Tamandua tetradactyla: one gene and its partner. The protein of the gene in region 2 interacts with the protein of the main gene of each other region in a pairwise test. Links are inferred from orthologs where the notes say so. Each region holds a gene or a part of one and is shown on either strand. Other genes may lie near its edges.

What was found. The genes of interacting proteins can lie anywhere in the genome.
Region 1: the proteins of RGS2 (region 2) and DDR1 interact in a two-hybrid assay, tested with the Homo sapiens proteins (2 studies listed by BioGRID and IntAct). The link is inferred for Tamandua tetradactyla from reciprocal best matches to the Homo sapiens genes RGS2 and DDR1.

Annotation. Positions count from the first base shown.
Region 1 is NC_135331.1:85,815,142-85,822,803, reverse strand, and holds the start of DDR1 (epithelial discoidin domain-containing receptor 1), read right to left. Parts: upstream 3,017-7,662; 5' UTR 2,941-3,016; coding exon 2,740-2,940; intron 1,584-2,739; exon of another isoform or gene 1,396-1,583; intron 1,239-1,395; exon of another isoform or gene 1,141-1,238; intron 74-1,140; exon of another isoform or gene 53-73; intron 1-52. UniProt on the Homo sapiens protein: Tyrosine kinase that functions as a cell surface receptor for fibrillar collagen and regulates cell attachment to the extracellular matrix, remodeling of the extracellular matrix, cell migration, differentiation, survival and cell proliferation.
Region 2 is NC_135330.1:48,612,714-48,620,367, reverse strand, and holds the start of RGS2 (regulator of G-protein signaling 2), read right to left. Parts: upstream 3,004-7,654; 5' UTR 2,959-3,003; coding exon 2,849-2,958; intron 1,860-2,848; coding exon 1,758-1,859; intron 1,654-1,757; coding exon 1,592-1,653; intron 1,003-1,591; coding exon 836-1,002; intron 531-835; coding exon 336-530; 3' UTR 1-335. UniProt on the Homo sapiens protein: Regulates G protein-coupled receptor signaling cascades. Inhibits signal transduction by increasing the GTPase activity of G protein alpha subunits, thereby driving them into their inactive GDP-bound form.

The sequences.
Region 1 (7,662 bases), on a different chromosome or scaffold from region 2:
AAACAGAACAGGCTCAGAAACCCAGGGCACAGAGCCCAGCAGAGAAACTCACAGGGACATCTGGGGCGATCCATTACTAACACCCCCAAACACCCCATCTCCCTCCCCTGGGTCTAAACAGACACAGGAGGACAGGCCCGAAGCCCCACCCCACCCCACTGCAACCAATTACAGGCCAGCAGCTGGGACACCCAGAGGCAGGCCCTGCACCCTTTTCTCCCACCCCCACCCCCCCACACCAGACAAGACACCCACAGAGCTCTGTATAGATGCACGTGGTCAGACACAGGCGCTCACAGAGCCCGCTGTAAACACTCAGGCTAAATGTAGCTCCAGAGAGGCCAGACGCTTGCGTGAACACGCGCGCGCGCGCACACACACACACAAACGCTCAGTGTCTCACAGACAACCCCTAAGAGACTCTCAGAGATGGACACTGGCAAGTGACACACACATAAATCAATAACACACACAGACTCCCAGTCAGGGCTCACAAACTCTCACACACACCCCAACGCCATCCAGACTTCCACGTGCTTTCACATCCGCTCAATGAACAGTCATCTTCAGACACCTGTGAACATGAAATGGGGCACCCAGAGCTCTTGCGGCCATAGGGCAGAGATTCCATGAGAACTGGGGCCTGCCCCCAGTGCACTAGGCTGACCAAGCAGGGGAAAGCCAAGGGGTAGAGAACCGGCAGAAACTTGTGGGGAAGAAGAGCCATTTCTCCACTTTCATGCACACGTCTGCTTCCACCTGTCTCCCCTCCGTCACTTCATCTGGGCACCCCTACATCCCCAAGCACATGTCAGATGGGGCTGAAGAGCTGGGCAGGAATGTCCACCCAGCAGGGGAGCTGGGGGAGATGGGGAATTGGTGAGGTAGGGAGGGACCCTGAGGCCAGTGCTGAGGGTGGTGCCTGTAGGGCGATGAGGTCGGCTCATGGCAGAAGCAAATGACCATCCAGCAAGGCTGAGTGGCCATCACGGGCTGCGGGGGTGTTAAGTCCCTCTCTCTGCTGGGCTGAGGCCAGGCTTTCCAGCTGGGAGTGCATGGAGTGGGGGCTTCACATTTAGTAGTTGTCTCCTGGCCAGGAGGGAGGGCAGGCCCCGTGCTCTAGGGGGCAGATGAGGTTACCTCAGTGGGGCTAGTCTGAGCACCTGTCCTGGGTCGGTTCCTCAATGCCGGAACACCCTCTTCCTCTGAGATCGGGAGGCTCCTCCCCTCCCCATTTTCAGACAGCAAGCCGAGCGTTGGGGAGGCCGGGAGGGACAGACTTAGAAGCTGAACAAGCAAGGACAGCCCCCAAACATCCCGCCTCCCCAGGAGCCCCAGGCCTCCGGCCTTGGCTACCCGGCGCCCCGGCCGGGGTCCTCCCTCCGCTCCCCCTACCTCTCATCGCTCTTCCCGCAGACCCAGGCGTCCGACCCCGGGAGCGGGGCCTCCTCGGCGGCTGGGCCGAGGGGAGGGGTTGGGGGAGGCGGAGGGAGCCGGGAGCCGGGAGCCGGGAGCCAGGAGCGGGAGGCGCCGGCGGGGCTCGGGTGTCGGGAGGCGGCTCCCAAGAGCAGCTGTCGGGGGGCCTGTTCCGGGGAGAGGAGCCAAGGCTGGGGCGGCTCGAGCCCAGGCGCCGCCCCCCAGCTCCCCCCCCACCTCCGCCACGGTTCCCCCTCCCCTTCTCCTCCTCCTCGCCGCCCCCACCCCGCTCCCTCCCCTCTGCCTTCTCGCGGCGCGTCGGGCTCGCTGCCCTCCCTTCCACCTTGGTTCCCGCGGCTCCCAAGCCTGGCGCCGCCTTCGCGGCCCGCGCTCCTCTGCGCTCCGCCACGCCCACCCCGCATTCCCCCGCGTGCCGCGGCCTTCCCCAGGTAACCACCGTGCGGTCCCCTGCTCAGCGCTGCAGTCCCTCCCCACCTCCCCCCCGCCCCCCGCCCTCTCCCAGGCAGCCCAGCCTCTCAGCGCGGTGTCCTCCTGCCGGCTCCCTGCCCATCGCCTCCCACCAGAGCCTACCACCCCGTCCCCGCCCCAGTGTCCCCCACAAATGAAAACTATCAAAGCTGAGACCCCAGGGGGCCGAACTGAACCCTGATCCGGACCTCCAGGCCCGGGCACCTTCAGGCCTCTGGAGGGAGATCGCTCCCCTCCCCTGCTCCCCCTTCTCCCTCTCTCTGGGCTCAGTTCTTGGGGAGGAAGGTAAAGGGGAGCAGCTCCAGGGAACAGGAGAAGGAGCAGGTTCTCACAGGCCCGACTCAGCGTGGCAGCAGGAGTTTGGGGGGGGGGGGAAGGGTGCAGGGCTCACGTGGCCAGCCAGGCCCCCTGAACCCACTCTTTTCACACCACCAATCTGCTGCCCTGCACCCCAACCTGGGACTGCCCACCCACTCTCTTCCAGTTCCTCTCCCCTTCTCTGCAGGGCATTTCTGTCCTCTCAGGGTAGCCTCTGTCCAGACTCCTCAGGTGTAGCCAGCTCTGGCCCTGGAGGGGACCCGAGGGTCTGGTCCCTGGCAGGGACTGGCTAGAAGTCCTCCACCAAGGGACCAGGTGGGGAGGGGGAGGATAGAGGCACCATGGGAATCAGACACAGTGGACAGGAGAGGGAAGAAGGGAGCCAGAGAAGATGGGTGCAAGTAGACAGGGTCAACAAATGAAATGAGAGAGAGAAACCAAACAAATGGGGTGAGATATGAAGACAGAGCTTGTGGGGCGAAGGCATTGCACCCTAAGCCCTCCCTGGGGCCGCACCTTCTCTCTCCACAGGCCCACATCTGCCAGGCAACTAGCCGATGTCACCATCCAGTAGAGAGCTCTGTCCCTTGATACCTCCCAGCAGATATGAGCTTTGTGCTGTCCCAGACAGCAGTCCCAGGAAAGAAACACAACGTCCCGACCAGATAAGTACACAGCAACACCACCAGGAAGAGGCTGGCCATTGGGAGAGGCCATGGCACATAGGGACACTCCCACGTTGAACACATAAACCCAAGGACGCCCCGACTGTTAAGGGACATCTGCGAGCAGAGAGCCCGGTGGTCACTGAGACAAGTCCCTTGTCCGGCCTTTCCCTCCCACCGGACCCCTAGGGTTCCCCACCCAGAGTTCTCACCCCTCCGGAGACAGCCGCTGGGGAATCTGGGCCCTGGAGAGGCAGGGCCAGGGGTGGAGCTGGGGGAGGGGTGGAGCCCAGCTTCCCAAGTAACCTCACCTGGGCAGACCACAGTCCCTCCTACCAGGGCTGTACTCTGGGGAGGCCGGGGCAGGCTGGCAGGGCTAAGCTGGAATGGAGTAGGCGCCCCTCACACCCCAGTGAGACATTCTAAACCCCAGGCCTGGCGCTGACCGGGCCAGGTGGCATGGTGGTGCCAGACAGCAGGTTCCGCTGGGGAGACTGGAGGAAGCCAGAGAGTCCTGAACACCCTCTCCCTACTCCCCCAGGAGAAATTCCTAGTGGGTGATGCCCACCTCGCCCCAACCCAGGGCTGGAAGAGTGGGGAAGTATGCAGGGCTGGGACCCTGCGGAGTCAAGTGACAGTGGACAGGAGGCTGGAGCCGGCTGGAATGTGGGCTCGGAGCTGAGATTCCCAGGGGCCAAGGAGGGAAATCCCAGCCATGCAGGGGCCCCCAGAGCAGCACCAAAGACCAAGAATACCCACCCACCTGCCTGTGCCCCTGCAGAGCCCATCCCACGTCCTGCATCACTCCCCACCCCTAGAGGCCCCTCCCCACCCCTAGAGGCCCCCGTGTCTTCCTGAATCCCCAAAAGGACCCTCTACCCATTTCCCCATGCCTTCTCCTCCAGGGCTTCCCTCCAGGGCTTCCCTCTCCAGTCAGTGGCCTCCTGGGGCCCGGGGAAGGAGAGGAGGGGAAACAGCTGAAAAAATGTGAGGAGAGGCACATAGGAGAGAGCGGCTTCCGGCCTGCAGACCACCGGGCCACTGCAGGAAACCCACAGGACCAGTGAGAGGGAGGATGGCCCAGGTGGGCCCCCAGAGGCTACCTTCCTGGAGATGCAGCTGCCTCTGGAGGGAGCAGGCTGGGTCAGCAGCTGGGGAGAGGGAGAAGCTGCTGAGGGTAGGGGGTGGGGGTGCAGTGAGAGTGAACAAGGCCCGGGCATGAGTCAGAGCTTGGTGGCTCCCAGTACATATGGGAAACTGAGGTCCAGGAGTAGAAGGAGGAGAAAGAGATGACATTGGTCCAGGGGAAACATGAGACAGGGCTCAGCTGTGGAGAGCCTGGGCAAGGGAGAGAGCAGAAACAGGGGACCAGAAGGAGGAGGGAGGCTTATGGTCAGATGGGGATAGTGGTGACCAAACTCAGAGAGAGGCAGGAGATAGACTGAGGTCGAGGCTGAGGGAAACTGGGTGTAAAGAGGAAGAGGATAGAGGCAGGGGCCACCTAGGGTGGGAAGACTTCAGGACTCAAGGGAGAGCCTTGAGGTGTGGCCCTGGTGAGTGAACTGCAGAGCAGACAGAGGTCCTCGGAGAGGACCGTGGGAAACAGGAGCAGTGAGAGGGGTGGAGAGAGACCACAGGGCAGGAGAAGCAAAGACAAAGGGAGGGAAGAGGACGTTGGAGTCAAACTGAGAGACTGGGGAAAGAAACAGAAGGTTGAGGCACAAGGGCTGAAACTAAGGGCTATGGGGACAACTGCGCAACAGAGGAGGCAAGACCGAGGCCCAGAGACTTAGTCAAACCTCATTTCTGTGGTTCAGGACGCAGAGGTCCCAGCCCTCCCCTTGGGGCCATCCTAGCCTGCCCCAGCTCTGCTCCCCATCCTTCCCGCTCTCAGCCTGCTCCCCTCCTCCCACTCTCCTTCCAGCCGGACCGCCTGGCCCCTCCCCACAAGGGGAGGGCCCAGCTCCCGTGCCCAGGCCTGCCCTCCCAACTCAGCTCTGCTTTCCTCCCTCTTACCTCCAGCACTAGGTTCTCCCGGGTCCGGGCCCCCCCCCAGCCTTACACCTTTGGAGTTCCAGGTCTGGGGCTGCCGAGGCTGCCTGGCTTTGTCCGCCCGTCCGGGCCGGGTGCCCTGGAGCAGCTGCCCTGGCCAGCTGCGGCTGGCTTCACCGTGACCATGACAACGCAGCCCCGCTCCCCTCAGCCCCCGCAGAGAGGGAGGGAGCAGCCTGGCCCGGAGAAAGGGAGGGGAAGCAGAGGACTGTGAAACCAACCAAAGGGAGACCCCAGACAAAGAGACCCCAGACAAAGGGACACGGAGGGCGGCAGAGTGGGGAGAAAGCAACTTTGCAGCTGAGCGCTTATGCAGTGGGGGGCCCTCCTGAGGAGGAGAGAGAATCCAGACCAGAGGGGGACAGCCACACTTTAAAGTGGGAGCACAGAGATGAGAACTAACTGGTGGTGGTCCTTGGGCGACAACCTGCTTGGTTCCGTGAAAGGCATCCCCCATTTTCAAGAACAAGCCTGATTTCAAACATACTCTGACTTAAGGACAAATGTCATCGTTGGACAACGCAGTCCAATTCTTGGTCTGGAAAAATATGCTCCCCAAAGCCAAATGTGACTCTGATGAGGTCTGGAGGGAGTGAGGCATGGAGGCAGAGACCAAATGCCTCTCAGGAGCAGGTGACAAGAATGAGAGGACCAAATGGGGAGGGGAGAAGGCACTGCCTTGCAATCTGAGAGGTGAGGTTTGAAATTGCCCCTCACCATCTAGCAGATCTTGGCTGAGTTGTACCGGGTCCCAGTGCCCTCCCTAGTAATGTAGAGATAATAATCCTTGCCCCGGTGGTCTGCTGGGATGAGGAAGTGACACAACATCTGCGAAGTGCAGGTCCATTGGATGGAAGCCACCTTCCAAGCTCCTGCAGCATGCTCTCCCTCTGTAGCTTTCTGATGTGTCTCTCAGGCCTTCTGAGTTCCACTCCCCAGTTCATTCCACAGTTATTATTAAGGGTTTGTCTAGGGCGGGGCTGTGATGGTCAAAGCTTTGAAAGATTCATTGAGGAATATGACCCACTCCCTGCCCTCTGCCCCTTTCCAGTCTAGGAGGGGGACAGGTAGAAGTGCAGGATTGCACTGGAGAAGGAGCTGGAAGAGGCTGTGGGGGTGGGGGGCGGGGGGAAGGGCCAGACCAGGTCCTCCTGAGGACAGAGAACTCAGGAAGAGTTGGCGCTTGATCTAGGCCTTAAATCAGGCTAAGAATTTGCAGAGATGAGGGAAGGACGTTTCCGGCTGAGGAAGCCGAGGGAAGATGGGCAAGAAGACCTGAGTGTGGTTATTTGAAAATGCTGTTGGGACTGTAAGAAGGGGTTCTCTTCTGGCAAGTAAGCCCAGAAAGGCAGGTAGTGGACTCTCTTGCTGGTAGTTTGGCTTATTCTGAAGGTGAGAAGTCCTGCTGTTTTGAGATGAGAAATGACGGGATTAGATTTTGTTATTTTAAAAGTCGTTTCTCTTTTTCCTGCAAAGGATAGGCTAAGCCTACTAAAAGTAAGGCGTAGGAGTCACCCCCAGAGAACCTCTTTTGTTGCTCAGAAGTGGTCTCTCTCTCTCTAAGTCAACTCAGCATGTGAACTCACTGCCCTCCCCCCTACATGGGACATGACTCCCAGGGGTGTAAATCTCCCTGGCAAAGTGGGACAGATATCCTGGGATGAGTTGGGACCAGCATCAAGGGATTGAAAAAGCCTTCTTGACCAAAAGAGGGAAGAGAGAGATGAGACAAAATATAGTTTCAGTGGCTGAGAGATTTCAAACAGAGTTGAGAGGTCATCCTAGAGTTTTTTCTTGTGCATTATGTATATATATCCCCTTTTTAGTTTATGGTGTATTGGGGTGGCTGGAGGGAAGTACCTGAAACTGTAGAGCTGTGTTCCAGTAACCTTGATTCTTGAAGACGATTGTATAAAAATACAACATTTACAATATGACTGCGTGATTGTGAAAGTCATGTCTGAAGTTCCTTTGATCCAGGGTATGGACAGATGAGTAAAAAATATGGATAATAAATAAATAAATAAATAATAGGAAGGGACAAGGGGTAAAATAAATTGAGTAGATGGAAATGCTAGTAGTCAATGAGAGGGTGGGGTAAGGGGTATGGTATGTATGAGTTTTTTTCTTTTTATTTCTTTTTCTGGAGTGATGCAAATATTCTAAAAAATAATCATAGTGATGAATACACAACTATGTGATGATTTTGTGAGCCACTGATTCTACACCACGTATGGAATGTATGTGTATGAGGATTTCCCAACAAAAATATATATTTTTAAAAAGTCGTGTCTGGTGGGGGGACAGATGCACTGTACAGGACAGTGGCTCAGGGGTCAGGGTGGGCACCGGGGGCTTCACTTGCCACCTGATTGGGCTTGAGTCTGTGTTTCTGCTTCCTTGTCTGTAGAACCCACTATTATGGGCTAAAATGCTTTAGAACAGTGTCTGGCCTGTAGTAAACGCTCAGAAGCTGTTCATTTTTAGTATTAGTGAGGAGAAGCTGAGGGATTAATTTCAGCTTTATCCTGCCCACATCCCCCCTGACGTTTCCGCCTGCACCCCAGCCTGGAATGCCAGGAGAACAACGGCAAGGAAGTGGTCGGATCCTACAGGAATGCAACGCACATGCTGGGTATTTTCCTTGTGTTTTCACCTATCATTTAATTGTGTCCTCAGGGCCCTCTGAGGTGGCTTTCCATAAAAAGGGAAGAAGGCCCAG
Region 2 (7,654 bases):
GACCTATTGATTTTAAGTGCTTCTGGATCAACTATATCATATGGTATCTTTCACTTCACATCCCTGCATTTCCAGTGGGAGATGCACCAGATTCAGAGCACATATTCCCTCTGTGTTCTATGCACAGTGAGGGAAGTCATTTCAATGCAAGCTTCTCCTACACTGTTACGAGCTTCCTCATTTACTACCCAACTGTGAATCAATAGTTCTGAGTGATGTTTCCTAAACACCCAGGCTGAATCCAAGGTCAGTCGTTGGGGTTTTGAGCAGATCACAGCCTTTCCCCTTAGGAAAAATAATGCAAAGTTCTCCATTTTTTGGCCCCCTTTTTCATCTCATGTTGCATGGGGCTCTGTAGTGATCTGTGGCTTTTTACACAAGTCTTGGTAGAATTCTGATTCCAAGAAACGGGGATAAGAGTTGTTCTCCATCAAGCTGTATACCCTTTTCTGGGCAGTTGTAAAGCAGCCACTTGTAGCCTCTTGTATATTTTGAGCAATCAATGTTTTGGTTTGAAAGTCTATGTTTATCTGAAATAAAACAGAAAATTGGTTTAGTTAATACTCAGAGTTAGAGATATGGAAATCTATTTAGTATTTGTAAAAAACAAAACAAACTAAAACCCCAAACTATAATGTCTGATTAGCTTCCCCCAGGCAGTCTTTGGAGAAACTTCAGTGAAAACTAGGATGGGGAGGAGGGGATGGATTCCTCCTACCATCACTCCCCATCCTTTTGACATCCCTTTGGTTATGATTTCACTTTGGTGCTAAAGATTTAAAAAATATTTTTCACTGTATTAGTGAAGGAGGAATTTTTTTAAATTTTTTTTTACCTCTTTTGGAGCTTCCTTTTCTATGAAGTCAGTATATATTTTCCTTGCTTTTGAGGACAGCTTTTGGGGTGACTTGGTTTTTTTGAAGTCTTCACAGGCCAGCCAGAACTCAATATTTTCTTCACAGAATTCAGATTTTAAAAAAGCCCTGAATGCAGCAAGACCATCTGAAGGGAAAAAAAAGCATGCACAATGTGAAAAAAAAGAGTGACCAAATAATCTCTTATTTTTTTATTTGTAGTACTTCCCCTCCCCCCATATTTTAATTACTTCTAGATGATAGTAATTTTCTAGATTTCACTCAAACTTGTAATCCTCAGATTTAGCTCTTTAATTTAAAGGCTAAGATGCCAGCAAGCAAACTGTTTATGGTGGCACACTGCTATAAAAATACAAAAACTTAACTTTGCTATCAATGCAAAATAAATACTTACAGGAGAGCCATAATTCTCTGGGAACTAAGCTGTTAGAAAATATTGTCTGCAATGGAAAAGCTGACTCACCCTTAAACTAAGAGTAACTGCCACTTTAATTTTTTTTAGGCTAATTTTCCCTCCATCTTGACTGAATATATGGTTAAACATGGTTTAACCCTGGAAACATCGGAAAATAGGAAATGAGAATAAAATTGGCCTTATGCTACAGTGATTGTACAGTCTAACTCCCATCAGACAAACTGCTGTTCTGTTGAGTGGACACTACCTTCCTAGACTCCTGTGACACTTGAAATGGATCAAATATAAGAAGTTAACTTACATTTACTGGCTAGCAGCTCATCGAATGCTTCTGACCACAGCTGTGCTTCCTCTGGAGAAGGCCTGCAAGACAAGCGCTGCACATTAGCTTGTGTATATCAGAGTTCCTCTTTTCAGTCCAGCATCTACAGATTCGTATTTGTAAGTATAGGATTTTTTTTACTTACTTAATAAGAGTTTGCTGTTTGCTCTTCTTCCCAATTTTGGGCTTCCCAGGAGTAGAGGAATTTTGCAAGAAGTAGCTCAAACGGGTCTTCCAATCTTTTAAACTTAAAAAAACAAAAACAAAACCCAGGTTACTCACTAAGAGGCAACCCTTGAAAATGCTACTGCAGCTGAATGTATTTCTACCAAAGTCATCCAGTAGCTACAGACAAGCCAAATAAAACCAAGTAATTTCTCTCCAAGTGAGACAAATTTTACCCATTTAATGTTAAATCCAGTTTCATCCATCAATCTGAACATAACAGTCTTATAAGTAAAGGAAGGACTACCTTAAATCACTTAAAGTCCCCAGGTATTTTAATGAATTATTTCTTGTACTTCAAAGGGCAGGTGCTACTTCTGGCCGGCAAAAGGCAGGCCGTTTCTTTGCAAAGCTAGGTACAACTCTAGGACATTTCACCCTTGATGAAAACAACAGAGGAACTGCCTTTAACAGACCCACTTATTTTCCTTCCACTTTTAAAGCAGGAGATTCCCAAAGTAAGCCAAAGGCTGCGTACAAAGAGGTGTGCGTGATTTCTCTCTCTCGTCTCTGCTCAACTACAGCACCGATTTTAAGCAGATGCTACAGAACAATCGTTTGTTACACAGTCGTGAGTGGGTTAGGTCTACTCTTCAATTAAAAGGCAATAATAGCTTTAAAAGGAGTATATTCAGAACCAGCATCAGCTGCATAAGCTGATCAGTACTCAATGTTGGGGACGCGCTTCGGCCGCAGCTGACATTTAATCTCTGATGTCATTTTAAATGCAGGGGCCAAAAACAAGAAAGACAAAATAAGCCGCGATTTCCTGGCGTCTACCAACTACCTGGTCATCCGTCGCTCATGCAACAAAATAACTATATACCCCCAAATACAGATTTAGCCTTAATTTGGCCAATGAACCTTTCCACAATTTTTGTTTCTGCAGAGACGCAGGCGATATCGTTTCCTACAGTCAAAGCCGAAACCATTCTACTGCATTTGCACAAACCGGGAGAACGAGCCCCGCAGGGTGGGAGCTGGTGGGGGAAAGGAGAACGCGGTACTTACAGGGTCCGCTTCATCTTCTCCCGCTTCTCTTCGCTCTTGGGGCCGCTGCCAGCGTTTTTGTCCATAGGTCTGCAGTCGTGCTGGACGGCCAAGAACATAGCACTTTGCATTATCGTCCTCTCGAGCCAACAGCCTGCGCTCGGCCGCGCGCCGCAGTATTTATGAGAGGCAGAGGCGAAGGGACGGAACCTCCCGGCGCCCGCCCCGCCCCCAGGGGGCGCGGATTGGCCGCCTGACGGGCACAGGGCGGGGCCAGCGCGAGCTCGCGGCTGTCACGGCCGCCAGCGAAGGGTCTCGTAACGGGGGCGCTGCTGACGTCGGCGGCCCCCGGCTTCGTGCGCAGTGGAGCCAAAATGGGCGGCTGGGCGGGGGCCGCGGTGGGGCGAGAGTTCGCCCTGTGACAGGTCGCCGGCGACCTTTGCTCGGGGTGGCGACCTGGTGGGATCCGAGGCTGTGCGGGTGGGCTGCCCCGTCCCTTACCCCCCGCCCCCGACGTGTTCCTCATCCCCAGAACGGGAGTGATGATTCCCCAGCAGGGAAAGGTGGCTTGCTGCGAGCCAGAGTGCCATTGCCTCGTATTGAATTAACAGGTTTCTCTTCCTCGTTTGAGTGCGCGCCCTGTGCCTGCGCCGCATTTGTTGTTTACACAACTTCCCTAGCAACTCAGCTGAGACCATCTGTGGAGTAAACCCGGGCGCCGGGGAGATTCTCGCTCGTGCCTCTCCTTGATTTGCTGGAAGAAACTGAACAGGAGAAACCTGAAACCTTGACGGCCCGTGGGCTTATATGGTGTGACTTGTTTTACAGCTTGCCTAGGCATTTGGAATATTTGGGGGAATGGACATTAGACAGGGAGGGAACAGGAGAAAGTGACTATCAGATGACAGTGCTGAAATTGCTTTTGCATTCTGAGCTCTACCACTAGACACAGCTGGGTACGTTCGTGGGATTGCGGGGTTATTCCTCAGGGAATCCCAGGCCTCCTCTCTTTCCAAAACAGGAATCACTGATCTCTTTTTGGTGACTTGAGAGAGAGGGAACCATCGAGATCTGGAGGCTGGAATGTTCCGGAATCATTCTAGTTTAAGTTCGCCAGTAGGCAGAATTTCCACGAGTCATTTTTGGTTGGCTTAGAATTTACCAGAACACTTAATTAGAAAAAGGAAGGAAAATTTAATAGTTTGCTTAAGTAAGTTTCATGTGTTCTTCAAAAACTCATCTCTGTCTACTCCTGCAGTCTTTAAAGTAGCTTAATTAGCAAGGAGAAATAGATCACCTCAGCCACAGAATGATTTGATTTTGGAAAACAGCATTGCCAGAACTGTAATGTAACTGGAAAATTCAAGTGGTTTTCCCACCAAGCATCTAATTCCACAGTAAGATTAACAGCAAGCTATTGGCTGGCCTGCAAATATTCTCCCAACTTTGCATTAGAACTGTTAAAAGAAAATTGGAACTAATGACCTTGCTTTTTTCAGTATTTAGAGCTCAATGTTTGATGAGGAAGCAAAATCTGCAATCATTACTAAAGAGAACAGTTAGGTACTCTATTATGGAAAGGAAAATCAGTTAGATTTTGGTAGTAGATGCTATAAAATGTTTATGAAATGTGAGAATGTCATTTTTCTCTAGTGTATTCCCTTCAGCTCTAAAAGAATTCACATTTCTTCTTTTTTCACTTGCCTTTTCTTGATAATATGAACCTCAATATTTGTTTCACTTGGAACCTAGAATAGTAGAATTCACTCATAGACAGTTGAAAAGTAGGGTTTCTAACAAGGATGCAGCAGGGAGAGAGAGCTGACTTGGTGCTAGAAAACCTAACTGGACTCTCAGCTTAACCAATAAATACCAAGTAACTGTTGGGGCAGTTACTCCACCATCTGCTTGAGCAGCAACAACTCATCTGTAAGGAAAATAATGTGTCTTTCTTGCTAATCTCATAGGATATCATGCAAATCTTATGTGAAAGTCCTCTATAAATTCTAAAGTGCTATAGCAAAACTTGTTATTAATTTGTATATATGTGGAAAAGGAAATGTTCAGAGATATAGCTATTCATGGTGGAAAAATAAAGAATTAACTCAGCTAATTTGGTTATAAATACTTAAGTACTGTTAAGATAGAAAGATAATGTCATAGAGATTTGTACAGAATCAAATTTATAACAGTTAGTTTTAAATTAAATTTTTTGAGAAGCTGTAGGCTTACAGAAAATTCATGCAGAAAATACAGAATTCCCATATATCCTTCTCCACATTATCACCTTGCATTAGGGTGGTGCCTTTATTGTAATTGATGAAAGAATATTACTATGATTGTACTATTAACCACAATAGCTATTTAATAAGTGCTCTCGATATGGCAGGAAAATAAGCAAGCATTAACATTTCAACTTATCAGAGATTTCCAAGTCACAGAGGTTCAATCATCTCAACATAGTCACAAAAGTGAATATACATGTATGCATGTAAACAACTGGTGTTTAAATACAGACTATCCTGAGTGTTCTGTAAGTGTTTAATATATTTGCTTTTTTCACAAACCCTTTTCAAATTAACAACTGATGTTAAATGGCAGAATTTATTTTTCCCTGAAAATTATGTGGTTGATTGATAAATCTGAATGTAAATGTTAAGAGTTAAGGCAATACCTGCTACGGACTGAGTAAACTTTTTGTGAAAAAGGTACTCCTTAAAGTGGCTTTTTAAAAGATTAGCAGACCTTTAGTACTATAATTAAAGGAAAGGCTACAACATTTGATGACGTCCCTTTTCTTGTTGTCGTCTTTTTTTGTTTGTTTTTGTTGTTATAATGACTTTTAGGTAAATGGGATTGCTCAAGATGAGCATGACACATTTTCCATTCTGCGGTGGAAACAGCGGAATAGGTTTGCACAGCTAAACCGCAGCTTGAGAGTGACATAACCATCCATTTTTCAGGTTGAATCTACCATGCCCTCTACTGGAAAGGTTTTCTGATTGAACACATTAGCGGTATAGGTTCTCAGTGTGGTTCCTGAGCTTGTTTGGTATTTGTTTTAAATTTCAAAAAAGATATGCAAAAAATACAAATTTTTAACAATACCAAGGGGAAAATATGACAAGCGTCCCCTCTGTCATATTCCGTTATTTTCCCATCTCCCACTCTATGCTAGCCATCATTAATCAAGTTTTATTAATCATAACTAGCAAAAATATTTATGCATAATAACTCCCATGTTTTAGACATTTAGGAGCTAAGATACATGGTTTAAAAAAGCGCAAAGGGATCATACTTTCTATTAATCTGTGCTTTGATTTTAGCTAGGTTATCTTAGTTCCTGAATTTGTAAAGGCTATAAACCTGTCGCTTACCTTATGAAATCTTTCATGTGTGGTAAGTTAAAAAAAAGGAAGAAAAAACTAGAAAATTAAACCCTGTGTAGTAAAGGGTATGATAAGTAATTGGAAAAAATGAAAACTTTTAGTACTCGGTGGACTATATTTGAGGAAGTGTGATACCTTTTTTTTTTCGTCAAATTTAACTTTTGTTAGTGAGGTATTCTTTTCATCCAGTGAACAGAAGACCAGACAAGATTCTGTACTCAATTCCTTCCCCCAATAGGAGGTGAGATTTAAAAATCATGTCTTTATTACAATGCAGTTTCCTATTCAGAAGCTGAAAAGAGAGAAAATTAGTGTCTTTGTCAGGAATGAGAGGTTAAAGAGAATACTTGACACGCATTATAGAAGAGTTAATAATTTTTATCAATTCTTATATTGATAATTCCGTTTAGAACCCTTTCTTGGTTCTACCATGAATTTATCCATGGTATGAGGTAAGTTGTACATCTTCAAATGCAGGCAGGGCCAACTTAAATTTAATAGACCTTTCCTTACTGAGCACCTGGATTCCCTTTGGAAACCAATGACAGGAACATCATGAAGTTTTGTTTTACATTGTTTTCTGAATAAAAACACTAGCATATATTGAAATACCACTAAGCTTTTTTGTTATTAGATCTGTAAGTTAAAGAACCGTAAATATGAGGTCTAAATTTGGGATTTATTTCCATTGTATGCTCATTGCTTCTTTCTCTTTTGTGACGTTGGGCTACACAGAATCCCAGGGGAGAGTAAGTGGTTATAAATGCTTTTTTATAAATGTTGCTCTATTTATAACCAGTAACTGCTCTAAGTTAAATAGGTGGCCTATTTTCTACAAAATAAAGAGGCAAGGCTAGGTATTTTTTTTTCCTGGAAGTTCTTTTGCCTGGGATTTTAATTTCTGTGCATTGAATTTGTAGAAAGTCATTACATGTGTACGTGTGTGTGTGTGTGTGTGTGTGTGTGTGTGTGTATTAGGGGGCAGTTCTATCCCAGCCTGCAGCCTTTCCCTGGGACCCACAAATACATCCTGTGCTCAGGACCAAGTATGTCAGCCTGGCAGGATAAAACACAAATCCCTAGTAGGTAAGGGGACTGCTAGTACATTTCTTCCCCTGTTGTTTTGAGCATATGTAAATGTTTCAGGTGGGCATGTTTTACTACATCCAGCTAACATCCAGGTGGTATATCCGTCTCTGGAGGGGAGGGGGTGGAGTTCCTCCACTGTGGCAGCACACAAACACAAGAAAAAGGATATTGTTTTCAGAACGGCACCCTGCTTAGCCCATGGATTGAGACCTGCTGGCTATGGGGAACCAGCTGACCTTACTTTGTGGAGCTTGTGAAGCTGACCTTGCTTTGTCTCTTCTGTATGTGAGTAAAATGTCTTTCCATAAATGCCTGTATGAGTTTTGCTTTTGCTGGAGATCCAACCCCT